4 linked regions of the Styela clava genome follow. The protein of the gene in region 2 binds, or shares a complex with, the protein of the main gene of each other region. Links are inferred from orthologs where the notes say so. Each region holds a gene or a part of one and is shown on either strand. Other genes may lie near its edges.

Evidence for each region.
Region 1: transcription initiation factor TFIID subunit 8-like (region 2) and uncharacterized protein LOC120346397 share a complex: the UniProt entries of both Homo sapiens proteins name them as parts of the TFIID basal transcription factor complex. The link is inferred for Styela clava from reciprocal best matches to the Homo sapiens genes TAF8 and TAF3.
Region 3: transcription initiation factor TFIID subunit 8-like (region 2) and transcription initiation factor TFIID subunit 13-like share a complex: the UniProt entries of both Homo sapiens proteins name them as parts of the TFIID basal transcription factor complex. The link is inferred for Styela clava from reciprocal best matches to the Homo sapiens genes TAF8 and TAF13.
Region 4: transcription initiation factor TFIID subunit 8-like (region 2) and transcription initiation factor TFIID subunit 7-like share a complex: the UniProt entries of both Homo sapiens proteins name them as parts of the TFIID basal transcription factor complex. The link is inferred for Styela clava from reciprocal best matches to the Homo sapiens genes TAF8 and TAF7.

The regions. Positions count from the first base shown.
Region 1 is NC_135257.1:9,008,598-9,016,382, reverse strand, and holds the start of uncharacterized protein LOC120346397, read right to left. Parts: upstream 3,008-7,785; 5' UTR 3,005-3,007; coding exon 1-3,004. Other genes in the region: serine/threonine-protein kinase Sgk3-like, read right to left, coding at 7,048-7,128, 7,376-7,462. UniProt on the Homo sapiens protein: The TFIID basal transcription factor complex plays a major role in the initiation of RNA polymerase II (Pol II)-dependent transcription.
Region 2 is NC_135258.1:11,736,340-11,743,999, forward strand, and holds the start of transcription initiation factor TFIID subunit 8-like, read right to left. Parts: upstream 3,007-7,660; 5' UTR 2,898-3,006; coding exon 2,759-2,897; intron 1,680-2,758; coding exon 1,518-1,679; intron 240-1,517; coding exon 109-239; intron 1-108. UniProt on the Homo sapiens protein: The TFIID basal transcription factor complex plays a major role in the initiation of RNA polymerase II (Pol II)-dependent transcription.
Region 3 is NC_135258.1:9,412,593-9,419,073, forward strand, and holds transcription initiation factor TFIID subunit 13-like, read left to right. Parts: upstream 1-4,111; 5' UTR 4,112-4,373; intron 4,374-4,644; 5' UTR 4,645-4,710; coding exon 4,711-5,070; 3' UTR 5,071-5,952; downstream 5,953-6,481. Other genes in the region: protein C3orf33-like, read left to right, coding at 6,035-6,091, 6,168-6,227. UniProt on the Homo sapiens protein: The TFIID basal transcription factor complex plays a major role in the initiation of RNA polymerase II (Pol II)-dependent transcription.
Region 4 is NC_135259.1:4,891,062-4,897,780, forward strand, and holds transcription initiation factor TFIID subunit 7-like, read right to left. Parts: upstream 1,811-6,719; coding exon 848-1,810; 3' UTR 512-847; downstream 1-511. Other genes in the region: PDZ domain-containing protein GIPC2-like, read right to left, coding at 303-443. UniProt on the Homo sapiens protein: The TFIID basal transcription factor complex plays a major role in the initiation of RNA polymerase II (Pol II)-dependent transcription.

The sequences.
Region 1 (7,785 bases), on a different chromosome or scaffold from region 2:
ATACACCGAGTGGAGCCGGAGCTGGGCCAGCACTTATCGTTTGAGTGATAACTTTTCTTTCAACAGCAGCTGCAAAACTCTCTGAAACAGTTTTTACACTTTCTACAGACACCTTTCGTTCTTTGGCAGGTATTGGGCTGTCGCCAATAGAAGAATGTGACCGTTTTTTGGTACTAGATTTGACACTAGAATTGCCACCTTGCTTAATAACAAATTTTTTCTCACTTGCTCCCATTTTTAATGTTAGTTTTGGTACCATTGGGGAAGGAGCATCAGAATCAAAAGAATCACGTCTTAACGATATAGCGACGTCTTTCTCAGGATCTTTAAATTTTTCTCTATGATGACTTCTTTCTTTGCTTTCCCTTCTTATTTCTTTATCATGTGACCATCCAATATCAATATCTTTGTCCTTATCTCTATCTTTCTTCTTCTTTTTCTCTTTCTTAGATTTCTTCTTTTCCTTTTCTTTGATTGTTGCTGTAACATTCATGACGGGAACTGCAGCAGAAAGTTTTGGCAATGGTAAATTTCGACTAATCACCGGAGATGGTGGTGAAGGTGACCTTGCGTGTTCTTTCACTTTGGGTTTGACTACTTTTGCATCTCCGCTCTTTGACTTCTTCAGAATTATTTTTTCCACTGACATATCGTGTTCACCAGAAGATTGTTTAACTTCCGATAATTTCGGTGTCGAATGCTTTTTATGTTCTTTTGTCTTATGATGCTTGCCTTCTTTAAATTTATGTTTCTCTTCTTTAAATGGTTTTGGTGTTTGTTTCATGTCAGCTTTAAACAAATCTTGATCGACGTCAAAAAGTTTAGGTTCAGGGTGTTTCAAATGTTTTAGTTTAACTTTCATTTTAACTGATTTTTCAGATATTGTTTCTGTGGTAACGAAAGATGCTGGTTTATGAATGTGTTTATCCTTTTTCGATTTTGAATGCGATTTGTGTGAGGATTTGCTGCTTCCATCATCTGTTCGTTTCATTTTCTTTTTGTGCTTCTCTTTTTTACTATGTTTTTCATGTTTGGATTTTGACTTCTCACTGACAGGTGAAATTTTTGGCGGTAATGGTATTGATTCACCTGAATCAGAATCAACGATAACATCTTCATCTTCATCATCTATGTCAAGAGATTGTGGAGTTTCTGCGGATGACGGAGTAGGAATGGGAGATGATCCTGGAGTAGGAGGATGTGCATCTCTTAGTCCTCTTTCTTCCAGTTGCAACATTTGTTCCACTTTATGAGAAACATCCGCATCAGAATCTGATGAACTAGAATCCTCTACAAGATGAGAGAATCTCATCAAATCTGCTTCCTCCGCATCTTTTTTAGCCTGCTCATCTTTCTTTACAGTTTCTTCTGAAGCTCTATTGATAACAGCATCAATTGCATCATCCATAGATTTATAAGATGCAAAGTTGGAGCGATCTTTATCTTCGAGACTTTTGCCAGGAAAAAGCTTCTCTTGTTTGATTACAGGAGAGGTTTCTCTTGAAGGAGGAAAATTTAAATTCTCAACAGGATGCTTGAGTAGTTTTTCAGCTCGTTCAATGCTAGATCGCACTGGAGACTTAGGAGGTGATTGCAGACCAGGCTCACGTTTTACTGATTTTGGAGTTTGAGGTTTGTAAGCAGGTACAGGAGGACCCTGGATAAGTCTTTCTGCCGCCTCAATCTTAGCTTTTATAGGCTCGTCCCCTAGGTCAGCTTTCTTGCTAGATGATGAATGTTTGAATGATTTATATGGTTTGTGATGAGATGATTTTCGGTCAATACCTTGTTTCGAAAAATGTTTGTGGCTTGAAGAACTGCTTGGAGTCGAAGTCAATCTTTGCTTTCCACTTTGAGGAGTCATGAGCTTTTTTGAGCTAGGTGTGCCCTTGTTACTAGGTGTAGAAGAATAATCTTTATCCTTACTTAGCCATGGTTTCTTTTCCACCGTGGAGCTTCCAAGTGATAAATCTGGTGTGTGTTGTTTAGATAAATGGACAGGAGATGCAGTTTCACCTTGCAACCAGTCAGCATCATACACATCAGCAGTTTTTTTCTTTCCAGACAGCCATTTTGGGTCTTCAGATTTTGTAGTTTTGGACGCCCAAGAATCCTTACGCACACTTGAGCTCGTGGATGGCACATGACGCTTTTCTGGAGTGGGTTTATCAGGGCTCAACCATGGCAAGTCTTGAAAAGGTTTAGTCGTTTTATGAGATGGTGTGTAATTATGTGGCTCATCGAAACTCTTTTTCCCTTTTACTACAGGTCGTTCATGTAATTCACTTGCCGTTTCAAAACTACTTCGTCTTGTTGGTGACATGCTACCACGCAGCTCATCCCATTCAGACATCATACTACTTGGTGCAGTACCTTCAATTGTTGGAATGTCTTCTGGTTTTGTCAAATGACGAGACTTCACTGGGTTATGTGATAGGGAATCATCGGACATGTATTCTTCATTCGATGCCTCACCTGCAGAATAATCATCTTCATCAGAGGAAGAGCCTTGTGCTTTGCCAGCAATGACAAATGTTGCTTTCTTACTTTTTTGGCTTTCAGGTAAATCATTTTCTTCAGTTTCAACAATTGGTTTTGGTGGTGCAACAATCATTGAAGGCATGTAAAGAGGAATATGTTCCGCTCTGTCAAAATCTTCAGGATTATTACCAGAAGGAAATTGTAAATTCGAATCCTTTGGTGCAGGGAACATTGGCACCTTATGTGGGAAAGCAACCGGCTCCATTTGTTGCATGTACTCGACTAAATCAGGGATAGCAACATGCATTCTTTTTAATGCAAATTCTACATCCAATAGGTTCGGTTTTGTCTGACAACATTGTTCACTAAAATCATGAACAGACTTTGATAAAACAAGTAAATATTGTTCCAACACATTGGTGAGAATGTCAAGAGAAGATGATTGAATTGAATCAAATCCAACAGCTTGACTAAGCTGAGCTATAACAACTCTCAGCACACTTCTGCTGTATTTCTCCGCCATGACAAAACCTTACTTAAATACGGACTTTATGAAATATACCTGGGTATAGAAATACAAGTAAAATATTTTAAATAGCAATAATCAATATTCAAATGTATACAATGAAAAATCATGATTTCAAAAATGAAAACAACACAAAAAAAAATTTTCAAAAATAATTCTCATACAGAAACATTTGAAAAAAATGACAAATAGGATGAAGTCAATCTTTTTGTTTCCAGAACGACAACAGTTATATTACACAAGGCACGAATTGCACAAATAAAATGGCTGGATTCAATGAATTTTATTTATTAACGAAAATGGCATAGTCATTATTGTATACAAAGTAAGATGATATGGAATGATCAATATGTCGATAATAATTCTGACACCACTCACAATAATAGTATTTGGGACAATTATCCTGATGACGGAAACATTACTGCAATAACATCAAAATTGATTGTGATGAATGCTGACAAAGAAACTTTTCATTGGAAGGTTTGTGAAAAATTTCAACCTGACCCATAATATAATATTAAAGACTTTGAAAAATAATAGCCAATTTTGATTTGAATCTTTGACACATTTTTACTTTAGATTGTTTCCAATCGATCACCTAACATTCCAGTACAATGCATACTTGATTGCATAATCGATTTTTTAAAGAGACACTGATAAAAAGTTTCCACAATTTTCTATATATTTCTGGAGGTTGCAAAAACTGATGAGCATTGAACTTATAACTAAATCCTATGCTCAAAGTTACAAAAAAACAGACAATGGAGGATATTTTAAAACGTTTCTCTTTGTCAATTTTTGAACAAATGGTATTTTCCATCAACTCAGGGAGATACAAACAAAAAGTTTAAAAATTCACTTCTGAAAGATTTCAACAATATTGCACAATATATTAAGAATGATCATTTTATAACAATATTAACTAGTTTACCATTAAGTATGCAAGATGGTATATTACGAAATGCAATATTCGTCCACATTCAAGGCAAATTTACCATTATATCACAACAACAAAAATCATGTTTATGGTAAAACAGACATAACTGGACATGAATAAAATTATTCCAATCAAGAAATATTTGGAGTATAAAAAGTAATATAGCCAGAGGATGAACACATTATAAATACCTATATTACTTCATATAATCAGGTTTTGCATATAAAATGAGCATTAGAATTTATCAATGATGATCAACTGGTGTTCAAGAAATGCAAAACTGCATGTTTAACAGTAAATGGCAATAAACAAGCATTTCCTATTAGTAAATAATGGCAATATTCATTGGTAAATTACAATTGACATTACAAAATTACTTGTTTTCAATGTCAATGTTCAACTTTTTTCTATTACCATTGTGTTAAGTATTGTTGGTCTTCATTAAGAGTGTCACTGCACGATAATCAGTATTATTTTTTTCAATTCCAATTTTACATTCTGTATATGCAGCATGCATTTCCATTATGGGGGAAAATAAACTACTGATTCTATTACTTATAACATTGTACACCTTTTTATAAGGTGTGTTTGCTCTGAAAAGTGATCTTGACAGGCATTTATTCATACCTATAGAGCTATTATGTTGAATAACAGCATAAGCTTTAAAACAGTAAGCTGAACATAATGTAAAGAAACATTACAAGCACATTATAGTTGCAAGAATACAACAAAATAATCACATCTCATGTCAATAGTATATGCACTCTAATATATGAAAATATCAGCTTTTCAAATCAAAACACAGTGATACCTCGGCCGTCGAACATAATTCGTTCAGGACTGGTGTTTGACTACCGTGACAGACTACATACACATCCTACTACGTTTTGGCCTTCGCATCCATATATTTGGGCATCTCTCTTGAATGGTCAAGACGCGGACGAGATGCGCGGATTGGGAGACGTCATCTGATCATCTCACTCGGCCACATGCTCAGGTGTTCGAGCACCGAATTTACGTTCGAGTACCTCAGCATTTTTGACTAGAATTTTTTAGCCTACTACCAAATTATTAAGAGTATCGAGTTGTTCGACTACCGAGGTATCACTGTACATTCATCTTATATATAAAAACAGTTAACATTGAGAATCAAAAGACAAACAGTCATAAACATTTGAATTCAAAAGCACTGCCAGAAATGTTGGCTCAATTAAAGAAAAAATCAGAGATAGGCAGAAAATCAGTTAAATCAAGCAATTGCCTATACATTTTAATGCTATTTACATAAAATGTTATGTAAAATAGGCTTGTTTTTTAAAAAATTTATAGTTCTGCCATCAAGCCAAAACTATAGCCAAAATTTTCTGGGTTCATGTGATAAATTGTTACACAGATTACTTTACCCCATATAATTAATGTCATATTTCAGCCTAGCAGATTATGTATACAAATCTGTTGCTCCACTGAAAACGCAGAAAATATTATGAAATAGCAACACTGATAAAATATATATATATTTTAACGTTATTTTTTGATAAAGGCCGTTTAAATGGAAGAACGCACTGGTTTGAACACAATTTTGGTTTGAACAAATCTGTTGGCAATACAATTCAGTGAAATTTCAATCTTTGTGAAAATGTTATGGAAATATGCATACAAGTATGTTAAGATAACATTGCATAGGACTTGTTATGGAAAGTCTAATAGAAAACTGCATGAATTTTAATATTTCATATTAAAGTGTATAAGAACGGGCATAATTCAATTTCAAAATTAGTTAACTTCATGATGGGTAGCAAAAACTATTGATCAAAATGATATCAACATTTTATGCAATAATATAAGGTGAGCGAGATTTTAAAAAAGTAAGAATCTGATTTCAAAATGATGAAAAACAACCAATTCAGGCTTTGGAAGAAAAAATAAAAGCTCTCAATTTGCATGAAAAAAGGCAACAGAATGAGTGTTGAATGAGCGAGTATAGACCTTAAACCATGTCACATCCATGAAATACAGTTATCATTTTTCTTTTTACTAAGAGGTAGTAGGCAATGTTCAATTTACAATCACATATCTGGAATTCAAGAAGGGAGAACAAAAATTTACTTCAAATGAACATACTTAATTTGTTATTTAATAAAGTTCAAATTGTTTGAGAGATTTCAATACTGTTACAGTATACCGTATATGCTCGTTTTACCGCCCGATCTTGATTAAGGGCCTGTTTGAATAGCCGCCCGTGTGAACAAAACATAAAAATAAATAAGGGCCCGTGCTTGAATACCCGCCAGATGTAAAAGCTGACTTTTTCAGTGGTAGAGAACAATAGGAAATAAGAAGCGCTTTTGTCACAACGCTGTTGAATTTTGAGCGCCGGTAGATAACACTCACGCCTCAGGCGTCCAAGTCAAAACAGATAGCATTGATTATGTAACACCATGGTTTTCAAACTGGGCGTCCCGATGCCCAAGAGCATCGTTTCAATATTGATGGGGCGTCGCAAATCTTTTCTTCTTTTGCGGATTTGTACCTGCGGTGCGTAGAAAATGTCAAAATTTTCGTTATTCTCGTTTAAACCATACTTGAGAACTGGAAATAACAATATATTATTTATTGTAACGATCGAAAATAACAAGCGTCCGTGCTTGAATAAGGGATGGTTTGCATTAAGGCCCGGTTAGTGAGTTGGTTGAAAAAAATATGGGCCCGGGCTACAAAACGAGCAAATACGGTAATCATAATTTGTCTTACCAATGTCTGATAACTCAAATTTCGCGAAAAAAAAATGGCATAAACCATGATCAAATGGTTAAATTTAGCATATTTCACATTAGTTAAATTTAAATCTAGTGGATATTTTGAAGACATCAAACCGATAAGAATTCTCTTCAACCTGCTTCATGTTTTGTTTTCCCGATACGAAGTCTGTGGCCAGAATGCCCCATACTCACTCCACAGTTCATAGTTTGACAAAAAATCATGAAGCAAATTGTTTAATTCAAACTATGCTGTTATTTTTTCCACCCAATGTGTCATAGAAGCCTTCAGATCCTGCATTGTTTCACTAGCATTGTCCAAGCTCAAGATTGCCATAAATGCCAGGTTATGAGTTTGAAAGGATAGAAGGTGGTGCATATGAGAATCCAACAAAGGCATCATCAACTTCTTGAACACTTGCATTTACCTATAATTTAATGTAAACATTGCATGTTATTTTAATATAATATGGAGAAAGGATATACATACAGATATTGGAATAAATCAATCACATTGTTGTGTGAGACACAGCCACAGGCCAGAAAATGTACTAACAATCAGTTACAAGATAGACTTAATTAACAGCAAATATTGATATATCAGTCTTTTGTAGCCACAAAGTGGCAAGCTGATCCATTGAATGAAAAAAATTGCATCAATACACACAAACTTACAGTATGGTCGTCATTTTCCCCAAGAGATTCTGGAACAGGTTCTTGAACAAATTCTGGATCAACATGCTTTAAGTCTTCAGGCCCAGCCTTGTATGAAAAATATATCATAAAATTTAAACTGAGAATATCTTAAAACCGCAAAACAAATCTATCAGATAAAACAAAGTACAAAAGATGTTCCAGCTCGCCAATATAATTGAAGACAAAATTTGTTCATGAAAATTCATATTGGTAAATTCCTTATTCTACTAGCTCAGTGGTTCCCATACTTTTTAAAAATAATTCCATGACAGAACCTTTGCAATTTTTTTCAATTATTCCTGGCCTTGAGCACTAGAACAAAACATTAAAAGATCACAACAAAAAATCAATGCTCCGTTAATGAACATTAAAATGAACAAAAGTCTATG
Region 2 (7,660 bases):
GCAAATCGCAGGTTGTTTAAATCAATGATTATCTCAAAGATTGATTCTCTACTCAAATGTGCACACGCCTTGGTGTTTAGCAATATCATTACAAAAAAGTATTCTTACCAATGTCCTAACATAAGTATGAGGATCTGGAAATTTAGGATAAGTAGAATTTTCCGGAATATGTGTTGGAAAGTTTCTTCGTTCACCAACAAGAAGAACATTTGGATTTTGTGAAGATGTTGTCTTGGAAACTATAAACATATAAATAAGACTTTAATACTTTGTGAGACTTCAGACTTTAATACTTCATTCAGGTGATGAAGTAGTCTATTCAATAACCTAAAAATGTAGTGATCGATAATTGAATGATTAATTGTACACTTTCTATATCGTTAATCCCGCAATGGTTAGCAAATAAATTTCAGCAATTTGTTATGTTATGTGAACGATGTTTAGAAAGAAAGACATTTTGAAATTCGAACACTCTGCTACTTAAATTAACAAATTAACTGGGTAATTTTTTTTTCAAAAAGAATTTTCAATATGACTGGTCCAAACCATAATTCTGTGTTGCACAATTTTTCCTTTCTTCCAATAAATTTACATATTTCTTTCAGCAATTTATTCATTTTTGGGTCATAATTAGTTACCTTGCTTTGAGAGATATATTCATATGAAAAATTCAAATATACAAATCATATAAGTGTTGAAATATAAAAAGTCAGAAGCAAATGAATAACAAAGACATACCAAATTCACCTACAGGGGTGGTGACTCCTTTAAGGCCCATGGGCCGGGGCCACGGCCCATCTAATTGGGCCACATGGTCCGTGGCGGCCCATCAGAAAAAATTCAATTGTCCTACCAAAATTTTCAATTCTTACAAAATTGTCAATATTCGAACAAAAAAAAATCGCGGGATGCCATCAAACCTTTTTCTTGCGATAAGCCTTTACATAACAAGATAGCTATGCTCAAATATATGGACACGTAGCGCCACCTAGTGGGAATAATTTTAATGACGTCGTAGTGAAAAAAAAGTAATAGCCTTCTGGAGAAAAATTTTATCTTCAACCACTAAAAATTTCAAAGCAATTGGTCCAGTATTCGAAGAGAAAAGCGATTTCTTCAAAACGTGTCAAAGAACAACAGTGAGAACAACAACAACATAATATTGAAATGATCGCTATGTCCACTACGTGTCCAAAAATAAAGCAAAATACTAAGCTACAGAAAAGGATACACCTGAAGTATGTGTACCAGGTTAGGAAATTAGGACAAAACTTTGTTCAGATTTTTCACATTATAGTTCTATTATAAGTTCGGGAAGTGGGTAGGATTTACATATTTATTAGTCTTTATTATTTCATCCCATTACACAACTTGATGGGCCGCGGCCCATTTCAATGGGCCGTAGACGAATCACCACTCCCACTCAAATTCACCTACTCCACAATCATAAACCTTTTGTATGAAACCGAAAAAAGAGTTTGAACATTTTTGAATAAGTTGAAAAATAACTAACTGACCTTCACCAATGGAAACTCTTCGCTTATTTCTTATAAAGTCAGGCAGTGTATTGAATTTGAATCCTGCATCAGCCAATGCAGTTTGAATATCAAGAAGTGTTGGAAGACTTCGTCCTCCTATTTCGCAGTATTGGCGAGTACTTCTGGCTATCTCTGTTAAATCTTCAGTGAATAAAATACATATTCAGTTTCAATTGAACAAATTCTATTGATGTAATAACTAATCATTAACACTGATTTAGATGCAATGATTAATTCCATTTCACTGAGTTTCAATATCCCTACAAATGTGTGGAGAAATTGGTCTGACAGGTCAAGAATAATCTCTTTTTTAATGTAAAATTCACTTCTTAATGTAAAATTATTCAAATATTGACAACATGTATTGCTTTTTACCTATCTCACTAATAAAACTAACTACACCATGCCATATTAATATCACTCTTTGTGAAATAACTAACTTAGATGTTCAAAAACCTTGTTCAGTCGAGAGATTTATTAGCCATTGAAAACGTTAATGATGTTGAACTATAGAAATAAGTTGCCAAGTTGAACATTATTTGACATAAAAATATAAAAACGACCACGGCTTATCGATTAGGCAGGATTAAAAAAAATTTCAATAATAAAGGTTATTGTCAAAACATGTGAAACTGTAGAAAGAACAAGCTAATATAGTTAGCATTGCAATTATATGATGAAATCTGGAAATGGTTCACTTGCAAAATAAATAAAAGCACTTGGAATTATAGAAAGATCAAAACATAGTATTCAACAAAACTCCATTTTGTTATGTATATTACGTGCATTGTTATGATAATATTATCGATTTATCATGGTTTAGATTTGATGTAAATATCTTCAGTTAATCGCAATACCACTGGTAAATAGGGAAAGAAGAACATTACCTCAATTAACAACATATATCTATATATTGCTGTATCAGTGTACTAAGTTTGTTAAAGATTGAATTTTATATTTCCAACCTTTCAAGACATTTAATTTATGGCATTTACTTACATAACAGCCCGAAGTTCAATACATTAGCGTATTTTTGTTTGTTTATGTCTGGCCCAAATCTCTCTATAGCAGGTTTTTTTTTTTTGTAATTTTTTTGTGCATGTGCTGTTTTAAACTTTTTTAAAGGTTTTGCTCGCTTTCCAGAATTCTTCATTTTTGTGTATTATGGAGTTTTCAGAATTAACTATCTATCTATCATTGACATACAAAAATCCACTTACAGCTTTGTGCAATTTCTGTCAATGTCTCCAGTGCGGACTTTCGAACAAACTCGCAGCCGTTTTCCACACACACTGCACCAATGGCTGCAGTAAGGCCTTGTCTATATGCCACAGATGGATCAGTTCCTTCTTGAGACATTTTAACAACTGAACACGAAATTTCTGCAACATCAAATGAAGAAAAGCTACCCACGGAAGCTGTGAAAAAACTGCTGTATCTTTGGTGGCGAATGTGTCCTATAGTGGTGGTAGCATAAAAGTCATATTGGGGATGGCAGAATAGGGATGGCGAAATACGGTCGAAAAGTGGCAGATTAGGGATGGCGAAATAGGGACGAAAAGTCAAATTGGGGATGGCGAAATGCGGTCGAAGCGTGGCAGATTAGGGATGGCGAAATGCGGTCGAATGGTGGCAGATTAGGGATGGCAAAATGCGGTCGAAGCGTGGTGGCAGATTAGGGATGGCAAAATGCGGTCGAAGCGTAGTGGCAGATTGGGGATGTCAAAATGCGGTCGAATTGTGGAGCAGATTAGGGATGGCGACGTTTGAGAAAGTGAAGGGCATGGTGTCAGTGTTACCGTACCGTACATCGGTACCGGTACCATTAGTGGTGGTAGCCTAAAAGTCTCATTGCGCGCAGCGCATTAGGAGCAGCGCATTACGCACAGTGAGGCCGCATTAGGAGCAGCGCATTGGGCACAGTGAAGCCGCATTAGGCGCAGCGCATTGGGCACAATGCGATATCGCATTAGGAGCAGCGCATTGGGCACAATGCGTGGTGGCATTAGGAGCAGCGCATTGCGCACAGTCAGGATTGACAATTCATCCATCCATTTTATCATTGTTTATGGAATCTATAATGACAAGCTAGACACGACTTTTAAAAAGTAGCAACAGTAATTCGACTTGAATTGGTACTCGAATTTGCTGGAACTCGGCTGATGATACGTTACTGTAATTTGCTCGTTGCGAGCATCGCATTAGGAGCAGCGCATTGGGCACAGTGAGGCCGCATTAGGAGCAGCGCATTGGGCACAGTGAAGCCGCAATAGGCGCAGCGCATTGGGCACATGCGAGATCGTATTAGGAGCAGCGCATTGGGCACAGTGAAGCCGCATTAGGCGCAGCGCATTGGGCACAATGCGAGATCGCATTAGGAGCAGCGCATTGGGCACAATGCGTGGTGGCATTAGGAGCAGCGCATTGCGCACAGTGATGCCGCATTAAGAGCAGCGCATTGAGCACAGTGAAGACGTATTAGGAGCAGCGCATTGGACACAATACGTGGTCGCATTAAGAGCAGCGCATTAGGCACAGTGAGGCCGTATTAGCAGCAGCGCATTACGCACAGTCAGGATTTAGCATTATTTATGGAATCTATAAAGTCGAACTCGACTTTTAAATAGAATTCGACTTGACTTGGCAATCGAATTTGCTGGGACTCGGACCGGTGATATGTAGCCCCAATTTTATGGGGTATTCCATACATCCCATTCAACAAGGCTTTGCATAAGAAGTTACTAATACATCTGCTATGCATTTTAGAAAAAAGTTATGAGTGTTCCCATAAATATGTGCGATTAATTCACATGATGATTTCAACTTTCCTCCATCCTGAATTGAATGCAATTATATCGTTCTTAACCTCGATCTTTATGCAAAATAAAAACAACAGCAGTGGAAAATGATATTATGTTTAATTATACCACACACATAACATAAAGGAAAGAGATTTGAACTGTCATTTATTAATATTTTTTTCTAATCACTTATAGTCATAACATATTTTAATTATTTGCTTATATCTTTGAAGTTTATGCTCAGATGTCTCAGCTCTGGAAGGAGTTTCTTCTGATGATATTTTAATTGTTTGACCATACGGCGGGTTCTTTTTTGAAATTTAGGTCCATGTTCACTTCCACCTTCATGCATCAAAACCCCAGCTGCGTGAACCATTTCGTGTATTATTATTCCCAACCTTTTCTCCCTAGATTTGATAAAAACGATTGAGAAGTCTTTATATATCGAAACTTATTTATCCGTTTCCTCTGGCTCATTTTTTGACGACTTCATGAAAATGTTTCGTAAAGCTTCGAAATGTATCCCTGTGGATTCGCAGTCGTCGCAAGTCCATTTCGAATCTTCTTCGTGGTTTACTTCAGGAGGTTCTCTTAGACATTTTCTGTGAAACTAAGTTCCGCATGCCACGCATTTATGCATTTTTCACCGTCGTCAGGCATACGGCGCGCGTATTAATTTGAATTCATACTACAGTATAGGAAGACGTGCACTTGTGATATTTACTGTCCGAGTCCAATCCACCTTGGTTGGCTTTTATATTGGGTGCATTGCTGTTTTATTCTTTATATTTAATCTTAGTCTTATTTCGGTGGGTGTGCAAAGCGTGTTATATTGATAAAATATATATTTTTAAACATAAAAAATAATGTAATTGAAACTGATTAGCTATTTTGGGGATTAGACATTGTAGATACTGAGAATTACATTCGATTTTGGAATGTTTAGTTTCCAGGACTGGTGCATATAGTAAAGTTGCAAAATTGCGTATGTCCCCAAGTCATTGACACATTTCTGACTAAGTCACAGTGCGTTAATTAACTGCGTCATACAAATTAACTCAAATCCGGCAACAATCAAAAAATTGAACCATGACAAATTATTGACTCTCAATGGCATAACAATATCATTAGGAAGTTTTTTATGTTTTTCTCAAAACTGCTAAATATGACTTACGCAATTCGGTTATTAGCGTGACGATATTTAAAAAAAAAACGATTGGAAATGTTTATTGATAAATGGAAACTGGAAAAGAGCAATTTTGGAAAAAGTTTTATAGTTACTCATAGCCATTTAGGCATAAACAATCAAAGTTGTATAAGGCTTTGGGTACTCGTGAAGTATGTGCACCAAGATGTCGCACAACCTGAACCCTAACCTTGTGTACAACCTGAGTTCAGGTTGTGCGCCATCTTGGTGCGCATACTTCAGGTCGTCCAGGCTTTGTTTAATAAAAGTTCTATAGATTGCCTTTTACCCCATTGAAACAACTCGAACAATTTAAGCCACATGTTTTGTGTTTCTGGCTATATTTTATCGGTGTACATCACCCACACATGAATATGCATTTAATGCTACATACCGTCAATATGATGATAAATATCATTATGATAAATACAGGAAAATCACAAAAACAACATATAAAATGATTTGATTTTAAAATAAACATTGCCGCAATCAGAAAATGGTTTGTTTTTAATTTTCTATAAGATTTGCGCTTGACCTATTCAGTTTAAAAAAGTATTCAGACATAAACTGGTACTTCCATGAACAGTTTACCAGTTACATTTCCTTAATAATTTACATTGAATAATCAAAATCTAATAAATACTGCCTCACTTCTGAAAATATACTCTGAAGTTCACAAATATGTTAAATCTTGTAACGCATTATCGCTTTTATATTTCTCTATTTTAATGTTTTTTCCACGATTTAAATTAATTTTGAACTCAATCTATATCTTCAATGATTATTCTGAACTGAATTATATGTGATTCAGAATCATGGGGCAAATTTAAGTCAGATGTGTTTTTCCAACGTTTCGTTGGATCATAGCAAGAATTCTTTGAACAAACATACTTATGATAAAAAAGCAACCGCAAGTAAACATGCACAGTGAGAATCGCGCCTGGTATGTTGAAGAATCAATGAAACTTTTGAATGCATCATTAACAGTGGGGAACTTGGATGATAAAGCTGATTGAAAAGTATTCAGCGGATTTATATTGAGTAATTTATGTCAATAAGTATGGCATTATCTCTTTTCACGAAATAACAGGTATATTTGTAAGCTTTCGTTAGATCATAGTCTAACTCCTTTAGACAAACAAGCTATAACTGCAGATATGAATGTTTTCTGATCCTCATGTCCAAAATAGTTTGCAGTCGTCTATAAATCTTCGGTATGTCTTAATAATCATTATATTCTCATCGAAGTTATCTGGCACAATAAGACAAATATATTTTCCTATTGTTTCGTCTGACCAATTTCAGACATACATGATTCCACTGTAACAACAAAAGGCAAAGCTGTTAAATTACAGTAACGTGTCACCAATCTAGTTCTATCAAATTCGAGTACCAAGTCAAGTCGAATCACTGTTGCTACTATCTAAAAGTCGAGTCTGGCCTGTCCTTATAGATTCCTTAAACAATGATAAAATGGATGGATGAATTGTCAATCCTGACTGTGCACAATGCGCTGCTCCTAATGCGACCTCGCATTGTGTCCAATGCGCTGCTTTAATGCGATCTCGCATTGTGCCCAATGCGCTGCGCCTAATGCGGCTTCACTGTGCCCAATGCGCTGCTCCTAATGTGATCTCGCATTGTGCCCAATGCGCTGCGCCTAATGCGGCTTCACTGTGCTCAATGCGCTGCTCCTAATGCGGCCTCACTGTGCGTAATGCGCTGCTCCTAATGCGCTGCGCGCAATGAGACTTTTAGGCTACCAACCCCTCTCACCGGTACCGTACGAACATTTTAAGGTTCTTAAGTTTAGCATGTAGCCTAAATGTACCTGCATATGCCAGGATACGGTAATAGGTACCACCTACCGGTACGTACCGTAGTGAGTACGGTACCGGTATGTGGCCCATTACAGCATTACCGTAATCTGTTAATGCTAATCCAGTCCTTGACGGCATGGGCAGTGTAGAGAATGGCAGTAGACAGAAAATAAGAGATTTAACATTCTTCTGGTTCAAATTAGGCTACTCTGGCAATTGTTTTGGTGGTAATTACAAGGACAGTACGGTACCGGTACCGTACCAAGACTTGGACTTTTAATTAATATGGTAACGGTAGACTACGGTACCGGTACG
Region 3 (6,481 bases), about 2.3 Mb from region 2:
ACACGTTAGACCAGAGCGAATCAGTCCTTACCGGTACCTTTGACGCTACCGGTACCCTCAAAAAAGTTCTGAATTTCCAGTAGCAAGAATTTTGCAGAATCAAAACGTACAGCCAGTCATGACACTGACTAAAATCCGTGTTCCCATGGATAAAAAATAATACAGCAAAATTTTAGACGAAATATCAAATTTCATAGAATTCATGCAAAATTTTGAAATAAATAAAAGTAATAGCCTTCTAGCAAAAAAATTACTCTTTAACCACTGAAAATTTCAAAGCAATTGGTCCAGTATTCGAAGAGAAAAGCGACTTTTTAAAAATGTGTCAAAGAACAACAACAACAACAACATAATATTGAAACGATCGTTATGTCCACTACGTGTCCAACAAGAACAACACAAGAGAGCTACGCACAAATATATGGACACGTCAGACCAGAGCGAATCAGTCCTTACCGGTACCTTTGACGCTACCGGTACCCTCAAAAAAGTTCTGAATTTCCAGTAGCAAGAATTTTGCAGAATCAAAACGTACAGCCAGTCATGACACTGACTAAAATCCGTGTTCCCATGGATAAAAAATAATACAGCAAAATTTTAGACGAAATATCAAATTTCATAGAATTCACGCAAAATTTTGAAATAAATAAAAGTAATAGCCTTCTAGCGAAAAAATTAATCTTCAACCACTGAAAATTTCAAAGCAATTGGTCCAGTATTCGAAGAGAAAAGCGACTTTTTAAAAACGTGTCAAAGAACAAGAACAAGAACAACAACAACAACATAATATTGAAACGATCGTTATGTCCACTACGTGTCCAATAACAACACAAGAGAGCTACGCACGAATATATGGACACGTTAGACCAGAGCGAATCAGTCTTTACCGGTACCTTTGGCGCTACCGGTACCCTCAAAAAAGTGCTGAATTTCCAGTAGCAAGAATTTTGCAGAATCAAAACGTACAGCCAGTCATGACACTGACTAAAATTCGTGTTCCCATGGATAAACAAGAGAGCTATGCTCAAATATATGGACACGTAGAGTCACATAATTTTGATGACGTCATAGCGAAAAAAAAAGTAATAGCCTTCTGGAGAAAATTTTTATCTTTAACCACTGAAAATTTCAAAGCAATTGGTCCAGTATTCGAAGAGAAAAGCGACTTTTTAAAAACGTGTCAAAGAACAACAACAACAACAACAACACAATATTGAAACGATCGTTATGTCCACTACGTGTCCAAAAATAATACAGCAAAATTTTAGACGAAATATCAAATTTCATAGAATTCACGCAAAATTTTGAAATAAATAAAAGTAATAGCCTTCTAGCGAAGAAATTTATCTTTAACCACTGAAAATTTCAAAGCAATTGGTCCAGTATTCGAAGAGAAAAGCGATTTTTTAAAAACGTGTCAAAGAACAAGAACAACAACAACAACATAATATTGAAACGATCGTTATGGCCACTAAACGTGTCCAAAAAACGATCGTTATGTCCACTAAACGTGTCCAATAAATATATTCTATCTAAGTCAGATGTATGTTAAACCGTAGTAGTATATATTTACGGTTAAACTAGTTGAACACAAAAGCTTAAAGAAATGGTCATCGTGAGTGTGCGACACCAAAATTTAGTATAAGTCAAAATTTTAAGAAAAAATGCTCTAGACACAAAAAGAAACTTTAAAAAAAATTTAACAATAATAAGAAACAAGAGAGCTGTGCTCAAATATATGGATACGTCACAAGGTGTCGCTATTTTTTAATCTGACACATGAAAAACGAATCTATTGAAGTCCACAGCATTTTTGAAATAAGTAAAAGTAATAGCCTTCTGGCAAAAAAATCAATCTTTAACCAGTAAAAAAATTCAAAGCAATTGGTCCAGTATTCGAAGAGAAAAGCGATTTCATCATGACGAAAGAGGAGAATAATAACAACAACAACATAATATTAAAACGATCGTTATGTACACTGACGTGTCCAATAATATAATTCTTTACATATGATTTGAATAGGATAAAATAACGTAGCAGTTGAGGGAAGACAATTAGGACACAGTATTCAAAAAAGCACGTTTCATTATATTATTCAGCTGTACTTCTGTACGATTACGGAGCTTAAATTTTTATTTATTGACACATGCAACATCGAAATGCACAATCATTTTTATTCGAGAAAAATAGTACGTATTTGCAATATAACTGTGTGTTGGTTTTTAGTCAATTCGCCTCGAAAATCGTGTGAAATCGGTTCTCCAAAATTAGCGGCAACTATCCGGTTAACCGCATAGTTAAAATACGAGATACCCGGACAGGCGCGCAGCCAGGATTTTCAAAAGGGGGGGGGGGGGTTCATAATCATAAATTCCCATTGCGGTCTGTAACAGTCTTCGAATTACGCGCTCGTTAAAGGGACGTCTTTTCAGCGTATAATGATTATTCTTGTCGCGTGAAATATTCAATCTCTGACAACTACAAAATTCTAAAATGTTCTAAATTATTAAGTTAATTGTGTCCAACGTAACTCGCGGTTGCTTCTTCTTATGTCAAAATAAAAACATTAGTTCTCTGAAATGCCACGGCATCGGTGGACATAAAAATATGAGGACAAACGGTGTATTTAATTTTAATACGTATTTTTGGAATCTTGCCAACTCGTTATCGCCGTTAGAAAAATCACATTAACTGATATAAAATCCCGAAGAGTACAATTTTATTTCGTAATCAAAAATCGCCGCGATCACGCCACTTCTTAAACAACGAAAAATGATTTTTCTGTTGTGCTAAGTAATCAATTCGTGACCGATAAGGGCATATTTAAAATGTCTTGCTTTATTAATTTAATTGTCTTCAATTTAACCAGCATTTGCGTCGACAAAACAAAACAATTTTTTACAATTCACAATTTCAAAATACCTCGGCCATTTGCCGACATAAAAATAAAAATTTGTGGTAACTGCCCGTCGCCTATCATATATTGTTTTGATCCGTATTTTTTCTATTTTGCAAATTCGACAAATTTGAGATGTGCTTGTAACATTGACTTCGTTCAATCGCAATGCTGACACTCCGATTATTTTTAAAGATAAAACCTCCTGAAAAATCCGTAAATCTGCTGTGAATTCTCATGGAGTAAAATTTATTTCAGTACAATAAAGATTGATGGATATACTTCGGATTAATTATCTTATATATCATCACAAACCGGGAAAAAATCGTAAGTAATGGATAAAAGGCAAATCCCACCCACAATTAACCGTGTTTCGATTTTAGTGACGGTATGTTCCTAAACGGCGACCAAACATAATGTGCGCCATAGGCACACGAAATTTTGCGATTTTGCGACTAGAAAAGCTTTTTTAGACTGTCGCGGGACTCAACAAAACTTATATTGTTTACGGTTCTATTTTCAGTATTTTATAATGCCGCTTTTCAATCAAATTTAGATCGCGGTTTTACTCCTTCTTTTGTCTTTAGAACCTCGCCACCGATGAACGTATAATAACTCACGAATTCACAATTCCGTGCAAAGTACAAAAATAAAATAATTATCATGTTTATCGTGGCACAAATTTATGATTTAGAAAGAATAAAAACCGACGTAAGGGCGTTTACGGCCCAAATAACACGCTGATGAAAACATGGGCGATTTTAGCAGAAGGCAATTGCACGCTTTTTCAGTTTTCACATTTCCGTGCGGGTACAAAAATAAAATAGTTACCATTGTTCCCGCGGCACAAATTTGTGAGATTAGAGAGAATAAACACATGTAAAGGGCGTTCACGGAATAAATAACATGCCGCGTTGATGAAAACGAACGGCGATTTCAGCAGAAGGCAATTGCACATGTTATCGGCAACTTTTTCACTTTTCGGAAAATTCAAAAGGGGGGGGGGGGGTTCGACCCCGACCCCCCCCCCCCCCCCCCCTGGCTGCGCCACTGTAACCGGATATATCCGTTATCCGGATAGTATAAATTATAGGTATCCGAACTAACTCTAATTATATGATCTACTTGAATTTGCTGTTTTTTTTAAAGCCCCATCAAAAATGTTGCCCGATTTTGAATCGCGTTCACTCTCCTGTTTTTTTTTTTTTTTTTTTTTTTTAATTTATGTTGGGTAGTGGGTACGTGACTTTTTAACTTTATTTTAAGTTATGCTCGCATCCCGGGTATCTCTGCATTTTGTTAGTCTGTTTACTTTTTGTGTTGTTTATGCCGGAGAACCGAAATAAAATGAGTGATTGGTTTGATTATCCAACGAAATCTATGCTCGGGGTAGCAACCATTTTAGGTTTGATTTTAGATTACTGCAGATAATCGAAATTTTCACAATCAATTTTAAAATCTTTAAGTTGAATGTGGGTAAGTTAAATTTCCATTGTTACGAACTTACGATAAACCTAGTCACAAACATATCCTAAAATCCTGTTTATACACAAATGTATGCACGTAAGTTACCTGTGTCGCTTATGGCTCTATGGACTGCTCTTTGTAAAATCCAAAAAGCGGAAATCCGACGCGGCTTGTGAGATTTATGTGCGTTTTCATTTTTATAGGTATCGTTAGTAATTGCAGTAACATGTAAAATTCAGGTATTGAAAATTGAATTTATTAATTTCGGCATTCGTCTCAGACCCCCGACTAGCAGCTAACAAATTAATTTATTGCAAGCTCTCCAATAACATAAGAATTGGTGGAAATGGCAGACTCTGATGGTACAAAGCAAAGTCCTCAACATTCAAAATCTAGCAGCCAACAAGATTTAGATAAAAAGAAACGTCTGTTTTTTAAAGAAATTCGATGTATGATGTATGGCTTCGGAGATGATACCAACCCCTATACAGAATCAGCAGAACTCATAGAAGAACTTGTTATAGAATTTATAACAGAACTCACACATAAAGCATTGCAGATCGGAAGGCCTGGAAGAGTGCAAGTTGAAGACATTGTTTATCTCATACAAAAAGATGCAAGAAAATATGCCAGAGTTAAAGACTTATTAACTATGAATGAAGAACTTAAAAAAGCAAGAAGGGCTTTTGATGAAGCGAAGTTTTGATTTCCAAATTTGCACTTGAAAAAGAACTAAATGGGAAAAGAATTGTGAATATAAATGGTCCGATTGTGCAATAAACCGAATCATGTCTTACAAAGACTAATTCGTCTGTACAAAATATTTGATAATGTTTTAATCAAATCAAGAGGCCATAATTTATCATTCACTCTTTATATAAAATATTTATGTTTGTTTTGCTCTGAACAAGCAGCTATTAAGTAAGGAGCTATTATAGTTTGGAAGAACCGGATCATTCCGGTTTAGCTCTGCCTATCCAATTTATTATACCGGTACCATAGGTGTGATATCTTCATAGTTTAATCTGAAGCAGGGGTGTGCAACACTCAGCTCAACACACCTTGTCAACACTCAGATTTTCCCCACCAAGCATAAAATCCTAATCCGACAGTTTATGTTTAAAAATGCGCTCACATGGTTAAAAATATGTAATGTTTCTGTCCTCTTGTCGCTGCATTTGATTTTTGCATTGTGCGAATTTTTTAATTCGTTGTATCCATGGAAAAACCAAATTTTTTGTGCAGACCAGCTGAATGTCTGAAGTTGGTTATATGGGCCACCGACAAAAAATGTTGCACATTCCTGGACTGGAGTATAATTGTTTGAGTCTAGGCTACTCGCCTATTAGTATTTTGAATGTTTAAATTTCATTCCAATCTAAAAAATGCAAACTGGGAAGATTGCTATAACATAATTGGCACTTGATCACACTACAATGTGATGGAGATTATTCTGACCTAACTTACTCCATTAATTTTTTTTGATGATAGAGTTCGAACAATACTGATGTAAATCAAATTTTTTCAGTTTGTCTGGTGTTAACATATTTTCTGTTTTTGTTGTTTTACTTTATCTTACATTTATAGATTAACTTTCATGGTTTTTATCGTAAGTTAGTCATGTGATTTGAATCTAAGGATTGTCAAAATGTTTTACATTCCGCACAAGAATGGATGTTGTGAATAAAGCATCAGAATTTTTTGACAAGCACATTAGGATTGTGAAGGTAATTTTTGCTGTATTCTTTAGTGTATTTATTATGCCAGACTTTTTTTTATGTATTATTATTATGTTTTTAACAGAATGCAGGATATGTGATTGCTGGAATAGGTGTTTTTATGATTGTAAGAAGATCAAGACTCGTGAGTTTATATTTGCAATATCACTGTAGTCATTTATGGTAATTTTTGGATAATGATTCCATTATCTTGACATTTGTTGTTAACTAGAGTGGTAAATATATGAAACATATATGGCATCTTCACCGATTTTGATTTAAAAATGATGTTCAAAATATGGTTTTATATACTGGAAATAATTGAACTTTAACAATTGCAAATTTGCAACCCCATATCCACCAGTCAACATGAACCAATTTTCGGGGTGTTGGTAGTCC
Region 4 (6,719 bases), on a different chromosome or scaffold from region 2:
GCCGTAGAGTCAGACAAACAGGGGACCGCTGCACAAAAAGTTTAGAAACCCTGGCTTAAAATGATAACTTCTTTAATAAATCTATCGTAAATTATTTCTAAAACCCAACTATTTGGTAAATATCTAACAAAATTAATAACAGTATGTCAGATTACTGAATAAATGGTAATTTTATTCAGACAGAAAAGCTCATACCGTCAGTATCAAATGCCTTTTTCAGCACAGGCTTCGTAATAATCACTTTCAGACCATAAGTATGGTTTGGGATTGAATAGCACAAAACCAACAATGTCAAATATTACCTGAGTATGGAATACAAGCTTTTGTTTAGGTTCTGGAGGTTGTTCGGTGTGGTTACTGTTAGTTTGTTCATAAGCATTTTCAGTCCGACCATTATTAGGCAAATTTTTTTTCTTCTTTTTCCCAAATAATCCAGAAAACATGTTGAATGATTATGTTTATCAAATATAGAAATAAACGGGATTCATACTATAATAATTAGATCTTGCAGTCTATAAAAAAAAGCAGATAATAGTAAGTGAAATGACTTTTAGTAAGCAAAAAAACAATTTTTGAATTCTTAAAATTTTATTGAAAATCACATTTTGTAAAGAAGGGATTTACATTGATTGAAATGACATTTCTACGTAAGTTTGACAAAGGATTGGTAAAAATGTTGTCCAAGATAAAAAAGCAATGAGTGCTATAATATGGGAAGATAAGCAAAACCTTTTATTTGCACCACATACATCACTGTATCCCAATTATTTACGTGTATATTTTCCTGATGTTGAGGAGAGCATGTCAAGAAGAGAAGAGTGAAATTGTTGCATCCCTTAATTAATAATTAGCGTTCTAGGCCCAACTTGGCTTTTGTCATAGCAATATCCTTCATATCATCTTGAATTCTGGAACGAACGACCTCTAATTCACCTTGAAATTTGACTTTTAACATTTCATTTGTGATTTGGCCTCTGATTAGTTGTTCTTTCCTTTCCTTACGTTTTTTGAGTTCGGACACTTCCGTCATTAATTTAGATAATCTCTCCTTCAATCGTGCTCTCTCTCCTTCATTGGTCACGACAGGAACGCCAGATGGAATTTCGATAAAATCTAAACTGTCGTCTTTATCAACGTCTTCCACGTTTACGTCATCATCGTCCTCTTTTTCACTCTCCGAACTAACTTCAGGAAAAAATTTATGAAGTTCATCATTTTCCAAAGATTGACTAGCATCATTAGAATCTGAATTTTTCGATTTATCGTCCAATTTTTCCTCTTCTGTCATTATTTCATATCTCACATTCACAGCTTCAATATCAGCTTTTAGAAGTCGTTTCACTTCTTTCTCTATATCAGGAGAGTCAATATACTTCTTTTTTGCCGTTTTACGAAAACGACGTTTCCGAACATTTTTTAGTGGTGGAGTAATTCCATGTGGCCATAGAAATTTCCGCTCTCTCAAATGATTCGATTTTAAATTTTGCTGAACATTAGAATTATGTTCACTTAAATCTGTATCGGGAGTACAAACAAGCATATGGCTAAGATTATTAGTTTTATAAAAAGTCTTCATATCTACAGTTTTTTGACATTCAATGACGCAAGGTAAGTCCCAAACTTTTCCTGAATAACATTCCCCATCAAATTTCACTGCACCATGTCGTAAATCATCATGCATATTCAATGTTAGTCTGTCTTTCAAATTTCCAGCAAGCATAACTTCATTGAGTTTGGTGGCAGCATCCGGAGGTAACCTCATTAAAAAGTAATTTTCCAATTCAAATGGAGCATTGCTCGGTTTATCCATGGCTATAATATACCTAAGTGTCTGCCAGAAATAACAATAAGAAATATTATATCAACATGCATCTAGTAATATGATGTCGAGCATTGCATAATAGTGTATATATATTGCTTGGCAATAAAATTTCAGAAAAAAATGAAGAAAATTAATTTAACCCTTGAACTTCTTTTTGTGTATGATGGAAAACGAAAGTTTCAGTAATCTAAGAAACTTTGCACAAAAATTATGTTTTCTCCAGAATATAGGTTCTGTTTTTTAGGAGGCAGCCCTGTATATATAATATATCCTCAACTTATATAAATCTACTTGATTATAATAAACAGACCTCCTGAAGTATGCGCACCAAGATGGCGCACACCCTGAACTCAGGTTGTGTACCAGGTTAGGGTTCAGGTTGTGCGACATCTTGGTGCCCATACTTCAGGAGTACCTAATGAACAATAAAACACAATATTCGTAAAACGGAAACACAATTCTATAACACTTTTAGCAACATATCATCTTCTGAATTGTAGGAAAGAATCTTCCAATAGTCAAACTTGACTGAGTACAACACACAAAAAATTGAAAACTCAAAACCAAATGACTGAAGGTATTCGAGAATTTGTCATTATATTATACTTGTACAATATTTCTTAACTGTCTCGATTTTATAGTATAAAATAAAAGATGAATTCCTGCAAAATATTGATATTCAAATACCAAATATTATCTCAAAAATCATGACAGGAATAATAAAAAATTACAAATAGAACTCATCACTGAATAATAAATGAACTGTATTTTATATAACATATAATAAAAAGATTTAAAATGCAAATTTAAAAACATTGCATAGTATTATCATAATTTATTACTATCGATTACCCAAAATATTTAGGCTTAATATCAATGAAAGTAAAATTCCATACATTAGGCATTCCTTCATGATAGGAAGAATTTTGTGGCCATTTATATGGCGGAATATCACTCAATCCACCAACCGTCGGCCCATTTATTGCATGAGTAGTAAAGGACTTGGCCAAAAAGTAATCGGTTGCTTTTGAATCAGTGCACCCCATATAATTTGAATCATTGCGACAACATATAGCATTGCAAGCATCACCTTCTGAATATTTATCAAATTTATAGTTGTTGTAACGGAGAATTTTTTTCATACTTTCCATATCAACAACAGTGCCTTGATCACGTCGAAATATTTTTGCTCTCGGAGCTAAGTCATGTGACAAATCAGGATCGTTTTTGGTAACAGCCGGATACCCACTCATATTGTAGATAGATTCATAAAAGGGTACGTTATAGGAGGCCCAGTATCCCTCCCTTAAGATATTTGTTTGGTCATGAGATTCAACAAATCCTGGTATTTGTTCCACAACATACAACGCACCATCTTCGAAACCAATTTCAGGCGTGAATTTTTTCAAGTCAACCACCATGTATTGATTATTGTAAGTGCCAGAATTGTGAAATTTGATGATTTCGCCCCAATCATACCCATTGCTAGCTAGAAGATTTGCTGCACGAACACGATGCCAAGCTAAAAGGGATTTAGGAGTTACAAGATCATACAAGCTAGTATTGTATATATTGTTTGTAGTTTGTAATATAACCATTTCACTTCCCAATATATAGAAATCATCCCATGACTGGAGAAAACCAGGATAGCTAGAAAATGACATTTTTGAATTTTTATGTTCCTTACCGAAAACTTGAAAATCATAGTTCTTATAAATACGAAGCATTGCGCTGTAAACAAACCAGGTGCTATGTCCCATATACATGTTTTCAAATCCTGGAGTAACTTTAATAAGAACAGAACAATGACCATGTTTCTGGTTATATTGGCGAAGTTGTTTTTTTGACATTCTTTTAAAATGATTTAGCGATGGTCTATGGAAGACGTTAAATAAATCTAACATGTCTCCTGCTCCGTTCAACAAATGCATTTGGCACATGCTCATACTATTATTGGCTGTCAGAGTATATCCAGCCAGAAGTCCCTCCAATTGACTTTGCATGTACCCAACGGCTTCCCATCTAATATCACCTTTCCCAGAAATCACATTCTCCTTTAACCATTTTTCTTGCTTGGCAAAAAAATCACAAGAACGATTGTATATATCAGCAGGTCTGTTATCAAACAAAAAACCTTTCAAATTCTCATAATTTTGATATATACGCTTTGATGTAAGAGCTCCTTCTAACATTCCAGCGGCATACATAATTTGATCAGGAGAGTATTTCATGTTATGCGTCGTTGCAGTGATGTCGAGGATGCCCCATCCTTTTTCTGCAATCTCATCATTATATTGTCCATAAGCCAATGCTTCTTTCACAATTTCTCTCTTGTATATAAACACTCCATCAGAAAGAACAATACTTCCCTCCTCAGCCAAGCATATAGATTTTAGACTTGTTGATATTATTATAAAAAAAATTATTTTGAAGACTTGCATTCTGAAAGATCATGTCCTGTGAACAAGTAAACACAAATTACTGAATTATATGAAATGTAATGATAAGTTGTTTTAACGAAACAATGATAAATATATGTTAATGAACCTAAAAATCTGTATGTATTTATATACCGATAATAATGTTTTTAAACAATTCCCAAGACACTATATTCTGATATTAGGCTATTATATTTTTCTTTTTCAATGGCTCCACAAAGTGGATTATTATTTTCTAACATCTTCAAAGGTGAATGAAAGCCCGAATATTAACTCAAATTGTCATGTCTGCATGTGCCAAAAAATGATCGAAGAAAGTCCGAGAGGCGAAACATTTGGAACGAATCGGCCGTACAGTTTTAGAGTAAAAAAATGTTTCCTATGTTCAGTTACTACAATTAAATACATTTCAAATAATGGCAGAAAGAAAATTTTTAAAGTTTTAATTGAAAAATTCAGATAAGAGTTTCATGGGTAGAAAAAAAACAAAATTCCACCAAATCAGCCAATATTAAAACTATTGAAAAACTTTTAAAATCAAATGCAAAACCTAACAGCAGGAGCATTATACCATGATTGTAGCAGGTTACAAGCACATGGTATGCCACTTCTGCAATATTCTGATATTCCATACCTGACTGAACCAAAACAATATTGTTGTTTAAGCTAGTATCAATACGGTACCGGTACTGTAACAACTACAGAACTAGGAAACTCCTATTCCTCTCCACCAGTGTTCAAGTTTATAGAAACGTTAACTACTTCTTTAACGTACTACTTCGGTACTTCTTTTATTAATACCTTCCCACCTAAAATATGTAAAACCTTACTTGAGGTTTCGTTTGCTTTCCCGATTCTATATTCAGTTTCATTTATTTTGTTTTCATCAATTATCTTATCGTCTATTGCTGATTATGGAGTTGAAATAAACTTATATCTAATAACTATTGGATTTTCAGTGGATCTTGCACCATATAAACTTACACAGTTATGTGGAGTATACTCTCATACCATTTACAAACTGTCTAGTAGAATCTTTTTTTTTTTTTTTTTGTGCCAAATAAATTCCAATGCCAAACGGAATTTTCGTATTAATATTTTGGTATCAAATCATTTTATTATAAATATATAAATAGATATTTTTTTTTGTTTCCATGTTTTTGTTTATCATTTTTTAATTTAATCCCATTCCCCCCAATACATATGAATAGTAAAAATCAAAATAAAGACAAAATTCATACCATTACCATGATGTCATTAATTTAATATAATCCAATATATGTCCAAAAAAGTTGAGTTAATCCACATGTAATCCACTCAGCAGTTAGTTGAATATAATTTTAATTTACAGGTAATCAGTTTTTATTTTAATTTTTTAGCATGAAAAATACAAGAATACAAAAATTAGACAGAGAATATGGAAAAATCCACGCTTTCATATTGGGTTTTTCCCATTCGCCATCTATGTTTCATAGTCGATACATCTTCCTCTTATGAAAATGATGTACAGATAACATACTTTCAATAATTTTCAGAGTATGGTGTTGCATATAAACTTACATCATGATTGACCTATGTAAAAGATCATCCATGTGCTCATATAACAATAATTCATTTCTTTCGCTTGCTTTTAGTAAATTTAAAATCCCTACCAGTTTACACTTGAAAATTGAACGCATACTACTTTTCATTTTATCTCTTTCATCATATTTTACTGAATTTCGATATTGCCAAATTGTTGATTTTCCGCATAATATTGTGATTAATTTTGATTTGCATTCCGAATCGTTTGCTATAATAGTATTTTGATTAATATCTATGCAACACCATTGCCAAAAATCACTAGACCAGTCACATTCTAAAAATAAATGACACACAGTTTCTTCAACATTATTTTCACATAAGACACACATTCCTGGTTCATCAATGAACCATTGTTTTATTTTGTCTCCAGTGGGCAACCCATTATGAATTAACTTCCAACATAACTCTTTATACTTGTTTCCAATATTTATTTTCCATATTTTATTCCAATTAATTGCCTTAGTTAGGTGAAATTTATTAAATATGTATTCCTCATGGTTTTTCAAAAATGTATCATTTTTCTTACTTTGTAAAATCCTATAAATTTGATTAGTGGTCAAGTCTTTCGACCCATTGTACCTATCAATTAATATTCTTGTTTGACCAAATTCCCTATTCCTTGATAAAATCTCTCTCCATTCTATTGGAAGTGCTTCCCATATTTGCCGTAATTCATTTTCGCACTTATTTATCAAGCAGTTTCTTCTTAAAGTACTTATTGCAGAGTTTTCTAGCTGGGGGTACACTCTGTTGGAAATATCATATATTGTTTTGCCAAAGTAGAATCTGTCGCATGCCATGTTATTGATATGGGCCGCTACCTTTTTTTGTGCCAAATAAATTCTAATGCCAAACGGAATTTTCGTATTGAGATT